2 linked regions of the Saccharomyces cerevisiae S288C genome follow. The protein of the gene in region 2 interacts with the protein of the main gene of each other region in a pairwise test. Each region holds a gene or a part of one and is shown on either strand. Other genes may lie near its edges.

What was found.
Region 1: the proteins of COS3 (region 2) and THI72 interact in a protein complementation assay, tested with the Saccharomyces cerevisiae proteins (one large-scale study listed by BioGRID).

The regions. Positions count from the first base shown.
Region 1 is NC_001147.6:698,343-702,279, forward strand, and holds THI72 (thiamine transporter), read right to left. Parts: upstream 2,226-3,937; coding exon 426-2,225; downstream 1-425. UniProt on the Saccharomyces cerevisiae protein: Low affinity thiamine transporter responsible for intake of thiamine. It is possible that the primary function is the uptake of closely related compounds and that thiamine transport is a secondary activity of these proteins.
Region 2 is NC_001145.3:5,425-8,975, reverse strand, and holds COS3 (Cos3p), read right to left. Parts: upstream 1,733-3,551; coding exon 593-1,732; downstream 1-592.

The sequences.
Region 1 (3,937 bases), on a different chromosome or scaffold from region 2:
CTTATCATAAGTACGTAATAAGAAAAGTATGTCGCAGGACGTCATAAGCTCAGACTTGAACAAAAGAGTAACAAAATCGCCTCCACCTAATTTTCAGCCCTACTAGAGCCTGATAGGATATCGGCACTGAAGCTGATAAGAGAATCAATGAAAATATCATCCTCAACAGAAATACTGAAAAGAAGCGGTAGTTTTTTTTTCTTGTTACAATTATCAGCCAAACAAAAACAGTGATCTGAATCGTCAATCAAACATTAGTGGAAGAATGAAATAATCGAAATGACCTCTATATCCTGTACGACCAACAAGCTTAATAGTAGTGTTTCCTGGGACTAAAGAGTGTGTTTAATTATCTCGAATTTTAATACTAGCGAAAGATCTTGAATGAACACTAAGTATGATCATTTTATTAGGTTTTTTGCTCATTAGGCAATTTGTTTTTCACTGGAAGTAGAGGATTCCTTTTCATTATCTTTCTGATGAACAATTTCAAACACTTTTGTGTTTTCTGAACTAGTTTTTGTCAACTCAGGTAGTTCATCATCGGAGCTCTCAGGTTTGTATTCGTGTCCACTTGTGAAGCATTCGCCTAATGTGTAAGCACGGATTTCTTCTTCAGAAATTTCACTGTATGGAACCATGCCCTTCTTCCTTGCTTCTTCGTCGGTAAACGCACCGTAGTAATCTTTGTCATCATGTTTGACAGTAATTTTGAATGGGAAGAGGAGGCATAGTCCCCAATAGACGAAAAAGGAAATCAAAAAGGAGAAGAAAGAATCACCATAGAAAAAATTTATAATACCAGTGTTGTGGAAATAGTCATTATTGACTTCCCAAGCGATACCAGGTAGACCGGGAGCCATACCACACACCCAGGCAACGATAGCTCTCCAGTTGACACCCTTGGTAAAATAGTATTCACCCTTTAGAACAAAGGCATTGGTAACGGAGTATTGTCTCTTCCTGATGAGGAAATTATCACAGATCATGACAGTGATAATAGGTGTCATTACGACACCGAAAGAGCTCATAACAGTCAAGAAAGTAGAAGAAGAGTTGTAAAAGTTCCATGGCAAACAGGCCCAGGAGACGCATGCGGCAAAAATAGCACCTCTCTTAATATCAACATATTTCGGTAATAAACCAGCCAAATCCATACCACTGGCAAACCCACAGTTGGAGATGGTATATGAAATTTGAGACATTACAAAACAAAAACCACAGAAGAATGTAGCTGCACGCGCGCCTGCAGAATAGTTAGTTGTCAACCAGTTGTCAAAGATGTCCATAGGCATCCAAAATGTTTGACCGTATAATTTTTCACAAGCAGAAGCACCAATGATACCGAATACTGGGATCAAGGTTGCTGGTATTAGTAAAGCAACTATAGTACCAGTCCAGATAGCGCAATTAGAGGAACCAAATCTGGAGAAGTCACTTTGATTGGTACAGCCTGGAGAAACAGAACCGTACCAGTACGAGATCGTATAAACCCAAGCCCAAGCCTTTTTAGAGCCAGTAACTGTGGAATGAGTAGAAGTGAACAAGTCACCAACACCATGTGCGCTCTTAGTTAAGTAAATTACCATACCCAACATGGCGAAGAAAGTACCAACACACGACCAAATTAAAATATAGTTCATATGGTATGGCTTCATAAAGTAACAGAACGCGGTAAGGATATGGAAGATAATGAAGCCGATCAATTCCTTGGTGGTCATGGCAACTTTCGAGGACAAAGTATTGGGCAGATGCAAATAGTGGTGAGACCAAGAATCTAATATCATGTTTACACAAAGCCCACCTAACCAAGCGTTGGAACCATAATAGACAATACTCATCAATATTCTGATAATGATACCAAGAGCTGAACCGTAAATCCCAAAGACGAATCTTTGAGCTAGAGTGAAGCCGACCTTCCAGTCATAGCCAGGACAAGAGTTGGCTAAAGCAAACAGGATGGTCAACAAATCAGCAATAATAAACGCACCGATGGTCTCTGAGTAACTTAACCCAACAGTTAATGCAGACGAACCGCCTATCCACATACCAACGTTGAAGGACAGAACACCCCAATACGCAAAATTAGACCAAAACCCCCACGTTTGATTAACAGACTTGATAGGTTGCAAATCAGGGTTCCTTAAAAAATTCACGGAGGCCCTATTTTTAACAGGAATTTCCAAAAATCTCAAAGCCCTGGAGATTCTCGTACCGAAACTCATAATGGTGTAATGCTAGAGTTTTTTTTGCTTGATAGTATATCAGATATGAGAGCAATAGATGATGATACAAGTTCTACAGTGGAAAATAACATGGTACACGCTCTTGGCAACATTGAAATTACAGCTCTCATATATAAAAAATGGAAAGAAAAAAGAGAAGAAAAAAGAGAAGAAATGAATTCTATTATGATAGCGAATGCAAAATATTCGTCCACATTCTTTTATCTATTGTCTTCCTTCTTTCTGTGCAACTACCAGAAAAAGCTATTTCATCTAGTCGAGTAGACTAATTAATGAATTATCTCGTCTTCCATATAAATTAATAAGGCAACCAGCAGGAGACGCCTATTGTTAAGCGTATTACGAAACCTGCGGATCTGTGCGCTATTGTTATGCCAGTGAAGGAGCCTGTCATCATGCACTCATGTGCCCGCGCGCGCGCTTCTGTGACTACAACTTATTGTAGGGCGTAGTACACTGACGCCTAGCGCTCAAAATACACATATGCAGTGTGGCCGACTATGCGATGAAGCGGAACAGTCTATCTTATGTGAATGGTTGCAAAATGCCGTTATATGGATACTACGGTGCGAACACGTATTTATAATAGGATAATCTTGTATCTATTCGTTTTATGCTACTAGTTCTAACCTTTAGGAAGTGTCCTTCACAATATCAGCCCTACATGCAGTGGTCTTCGTAAATCCTGTGAGGTTTTGTCTCATTTCTCTATGCTGGAAGGGCTTCGTAGAAGATTCCGCAAAATAATGGAATTGAAGCCCTGCGCCAAGCAAGCCTCACGAGGATCGTCGGTTCTGAGACGTAACCACGCTCTTGAATCTTGTTTATGTGATCAGCAATGACGTCTTCGGTGGTAATACCATTTCATTCCGGAAAAGATGAGTTTGTAGTCGGTTAGGGAGTACCGTGGCGTCCTTTCCTATTTCTGCAAATTTGCTGTCCATGTTGGCAACTACTCTCAAAGGTGGCAACTGCTTAGTAAATAGCCATATCGCTCAGAGATACATATCAAGAAACTCTAGCCAGATGATCACGAATCCCGAAGCGATGTAATTTTCCGTGAGGCAGTCCTGAATCAGGCCGTAGATTGACTATTAGCATCTCTTTTTGAGTATGCTAAGAAGTAGAGGGCTACCTTATTCCCACACACTTTTTACCACGGGCGAAACATTTATTTTCAAGTCCCAGCACAGTGATGGGATGAAGTCCAGGATGCGTCATACGGTCCTATGGCAAACTTCGGGGAAGGTTTAATATGCTGCTTTCAAGCAGGATTAACGGTAATCAACTCCCTAGGCAAATTGGCTCAACTCTGCCTATCTATCCACTGAGGATTTCAAATCCACCGAATGGGAGAATATGTCAGTGTCCATTTTGGAGTAAGGTATGAGTTCTTTTTTCGTCAGCTTTTCTTCTATATCTTACAATTGCTTATCTTAAACCACCGATATTTTTGCAGTCCCTTCATCATCGAGCACAATGGCCTATACGTTGAAATTTTGGTTTTGGTTTGAAGCCCACTCATCTTGGCATCGCTGACGTGTTTTCTTCCAAGATTTAAAGAGGACTACTCGGTGCAGGTGGACATCTCGAATGAATATGTTACCTAGCTTGATCTCCTCCATCAAATTACAACCTTTTTGCAGTGAATTTTGATACATGGATTTCGGAGCTTAAACACGTATTAACTG
Region 2 (3,551 bases):
GACATCATTAAACTTTCCAGCGACGATACCATCTTGTGTCCATGCTTAGACCCTCTAGAGTGAACAAATTTTTGGATTCGCATTTTCCTATAAAGCTCTACCTGGGACTGCAAATTTAATATAAAATGCCTCAATGATTCTTTAAAACAAAGCTCTCATAACTCGACAAACGCTTTCAGATGGTTTGTCTAAATATTTCTACGTATTGATTTTTAAGAAGTACATCTATAGTCATGATATCTTCTAGTACGTTATTATAAAGCTGGATTTGTGACAAGAACAGCAGTGTACTGTCTTAGAGGGAATCCATTACTAGTGGGAACTGTAAAAAATATTTTTACAATGTGGCAAAATGAGACCATAAAACTCATAATGTAATTGGAACTTTGAATAGCGGCGGTACGTTTGTTGGGGTTTGCAATACAGAATTTCATAAAGTTTTCAACATATTGTCTGATTAACAACAGAAGCCTCGTTTGAAACTGCTGGATTGTAATCAATACAGTAAAATAATTGTAAAAAGTAGTCTCGTTTTGGTTATTCGCAGCTGACAAACTACAAAATATATAAATTGAAAAAGTTGTATTTATCTCTACACTAAGAGCACCTCACTGCGGGATAATTGCGCTTCTTTAATGTATGGCCATAGTTCCACATTCAATGGTAAAGGCCACATAGATTTCTTCGCAGATAGAACGCGGTAGAAGAAGTGGTTAAAAAACCATTCACAGTCAATCCCGTCGAAGAAAAACTCTTCATTCTTCCAGGCTTTTTTCTCAAACAAGTACCTATTCATTTTCCTTGCAATTTCGTCCCATCCATTCGCACCACTTTCTTGCTCATTTATAATAGTCGACAAGAACTGCATCTTGTGTTCCATGCTCATAATCAAAACCCTTATATTTTGGAAACCTTGTACCAACATGAAAAGAATCCACCCGAGATACAAGGTGCGTAATAGAAGGCACATTCCCCGTGACACATATATGCAGCACAAAAAATTAAGGAATGGTATCAACATAAAAATATTGGAAATCCTCTTTAAAAACCAAGTAAGCTTAAATCGGTAAGCTTCCTTGGGAAGTTTAGCATCTTCCAGGCCAACAGGGCTCCATGATTTTTCAGTATTAAACAATTTCCATTGTTTTTCAACTTCTGTAAAATAAACTCCCAATGCTTCTTCAATGTAAGGGACGGAATCCTTAAATGACTTAACCTTGGCAGCTTTATCTTTTTTCAAAGAAAATGGTTCGAGAAGGGTTGTTCTGAACGCTTCTTGACAGACCATGGCATTGAAAAAAAAGTACTTAGTATTCCAAACGTTATTTTCATATAAGTACGAATTTAGATTTGCTGCAACAACTTCCCAATCATGAGGATCAGAACTTGGTGTGTTTTCAGTAATCTCTTTGCAAAACTGAATGAGTTGTTTCGATAAGGAACGCTTACGAGAAAGTCCACAAATAACAAGGACAAATATTGGTCCCAGAAACAGGACCAGAAGTGAAACTATAAGTGGGTAAATACAATTGTTGGAAAGTTTCCACCAGACGCTAAGTGGTAGCCATAATAGCATCCAGATGCGAAACGCTAAGGACTTGTAAATTTCATAACAAAACCAGGTAAAGCTGCTTCTGAAAAGATCTTGAGGTAGAACAATCTTTTGGGATTCGAGCTGTTTGAAGGATAATACATCTACACTCTTCTCATTTTTAAGTTCATTCTCTTTCATTTTCGGTAGTGAGATGGCAGTTCGAGGGGTTTTTTATTCGAGATAGTAACTTCTGGCTTTTCGCTTTTATACAGCACAGCAGAAAAAAAAAGCCGCCGAGGCGCGCGCGTTCATGCAATGGCTCAGTAACCTCGTGATAGAAAAAGGGCAACAATATTGGGCTATTTTAGGCAAAGAAACTCAGCTATTCGAAAAGGGCATCCATTACATTTCCGGTTTTCTATCTAGCCAACTCGATAATCGTAATAACGAATTTACAAAACTTTAATGCGGGTACATCACGGTGTGCCGTAACGTTGGTTCACATTTAGGGTGCGACCAGCAATGTCACTGCTCGTACAGCGGTTACCGCTTGAATGAAATACATATTTTAAGCGTAGATTTCCTGTGACAAAACTGTGTAAACATCTAGTAGAAAATAGACGTAGCTGTCACAAATATTTACACAGGAAAGAGTCTGTCCTACGTATCTGACATGAAGATTCATAGAACCAAGTTACTTCCCAATGTGGACAACCTTTCGATACCATGTCAATAGCTTCCCCTTATGTTCGGTGTCACTGTAAAACGGATCAAAGCAAAACCTAGAGGTACGGTGGTACTCAGATCATGCATGACCTCTGGGTAATTAGCACTTCTCCCGCTTGTTTTGAGATTCTGTATATAAATATTGCAAACAAAAGGATAGAGCGCGGATGGCAGCCCTTACAGTAAAAATTATTCGTTTTAATCATGCGTCAGTGTGAGATTCTATGACAATAGTATAAGATGGGGTGAAGTAAAAGCGTCTGTATGACTATAGAGTACAGTTATATTACAATATATGGAATAGAGCATAGTGGTATGACGATATTAAGGAACTTTAAGTTAATGATACCATGATAGTATTAAGACGCAATTAAGTGTGTTTATGTATTATGGTTGAAGGATAGAATATTTTTATGTTTAGGTGATTTTAGTGGTGATTTTTTTGTAATATTGGCATAAGTGTATATAAATTGAGTGGTTAGTATACGGTGTAAAAGTGGTATAACGTATGTATTAAGAGCTGTTATACAATACTTGGGGCCGCCGAATGAGATATAGATATTAAAATGTGGATAATCGTGGGAGTTATGCGTAAATGGCACAGGGTATAGACCGCTGAGGCAAGTGCCGTGAATAATGATGTGAGTGCATTTGGTACTGATTTAGTGAGAATGGGGCCATGGTGTGGAATATGAAAGTAGGGTAAGTTTGAGATGGTATATACTGTAGCATCCGTGTGCGTATGACATATCAGTAGAAGTGAAGGTGAGTGTGGCAAGTGGCGGTGGTGGTAGTGGTGGTATAGAGTGGTAGGGTAAGTATGTATGTATTATTTACGATCATTTGTTAACGTTTCAATATGGAGGGTAGAACAACAGTACAGTGAGTAGGACATGGTGGATGGTAGGGTAATAGTAGGGTAAGTGGTAGTGGAGTTGGATATGGGTAATTGGAGGGTAACGGTTATGGTGGACGGTGGTTAGTGGTAAGTAGAGAGATGATGGATGGTGGTTGGGAGTGGTATGGTTGAATGAGACAGGGTAACGAGTGGGGAGGTAGGGTAATGGAGGGTAGGTTTGGAGACAGGTTCATCAGGGTTAGAATAGGGTACTGTTAGGATTGTGTTAGGGTGTGTGGGTGTGGTGTGTGGGTGTGGGTGTGGTGTGTGGGTGTGGGTGTATATATATGTCACTGTATTGCATGCTGGATGGTGTTAGACAAGGCCGTAGGGACATATAGCATCTAGGAAGTAACCTTGTACGAAAATAGGCAATATTTCCTGTTTAGGCGA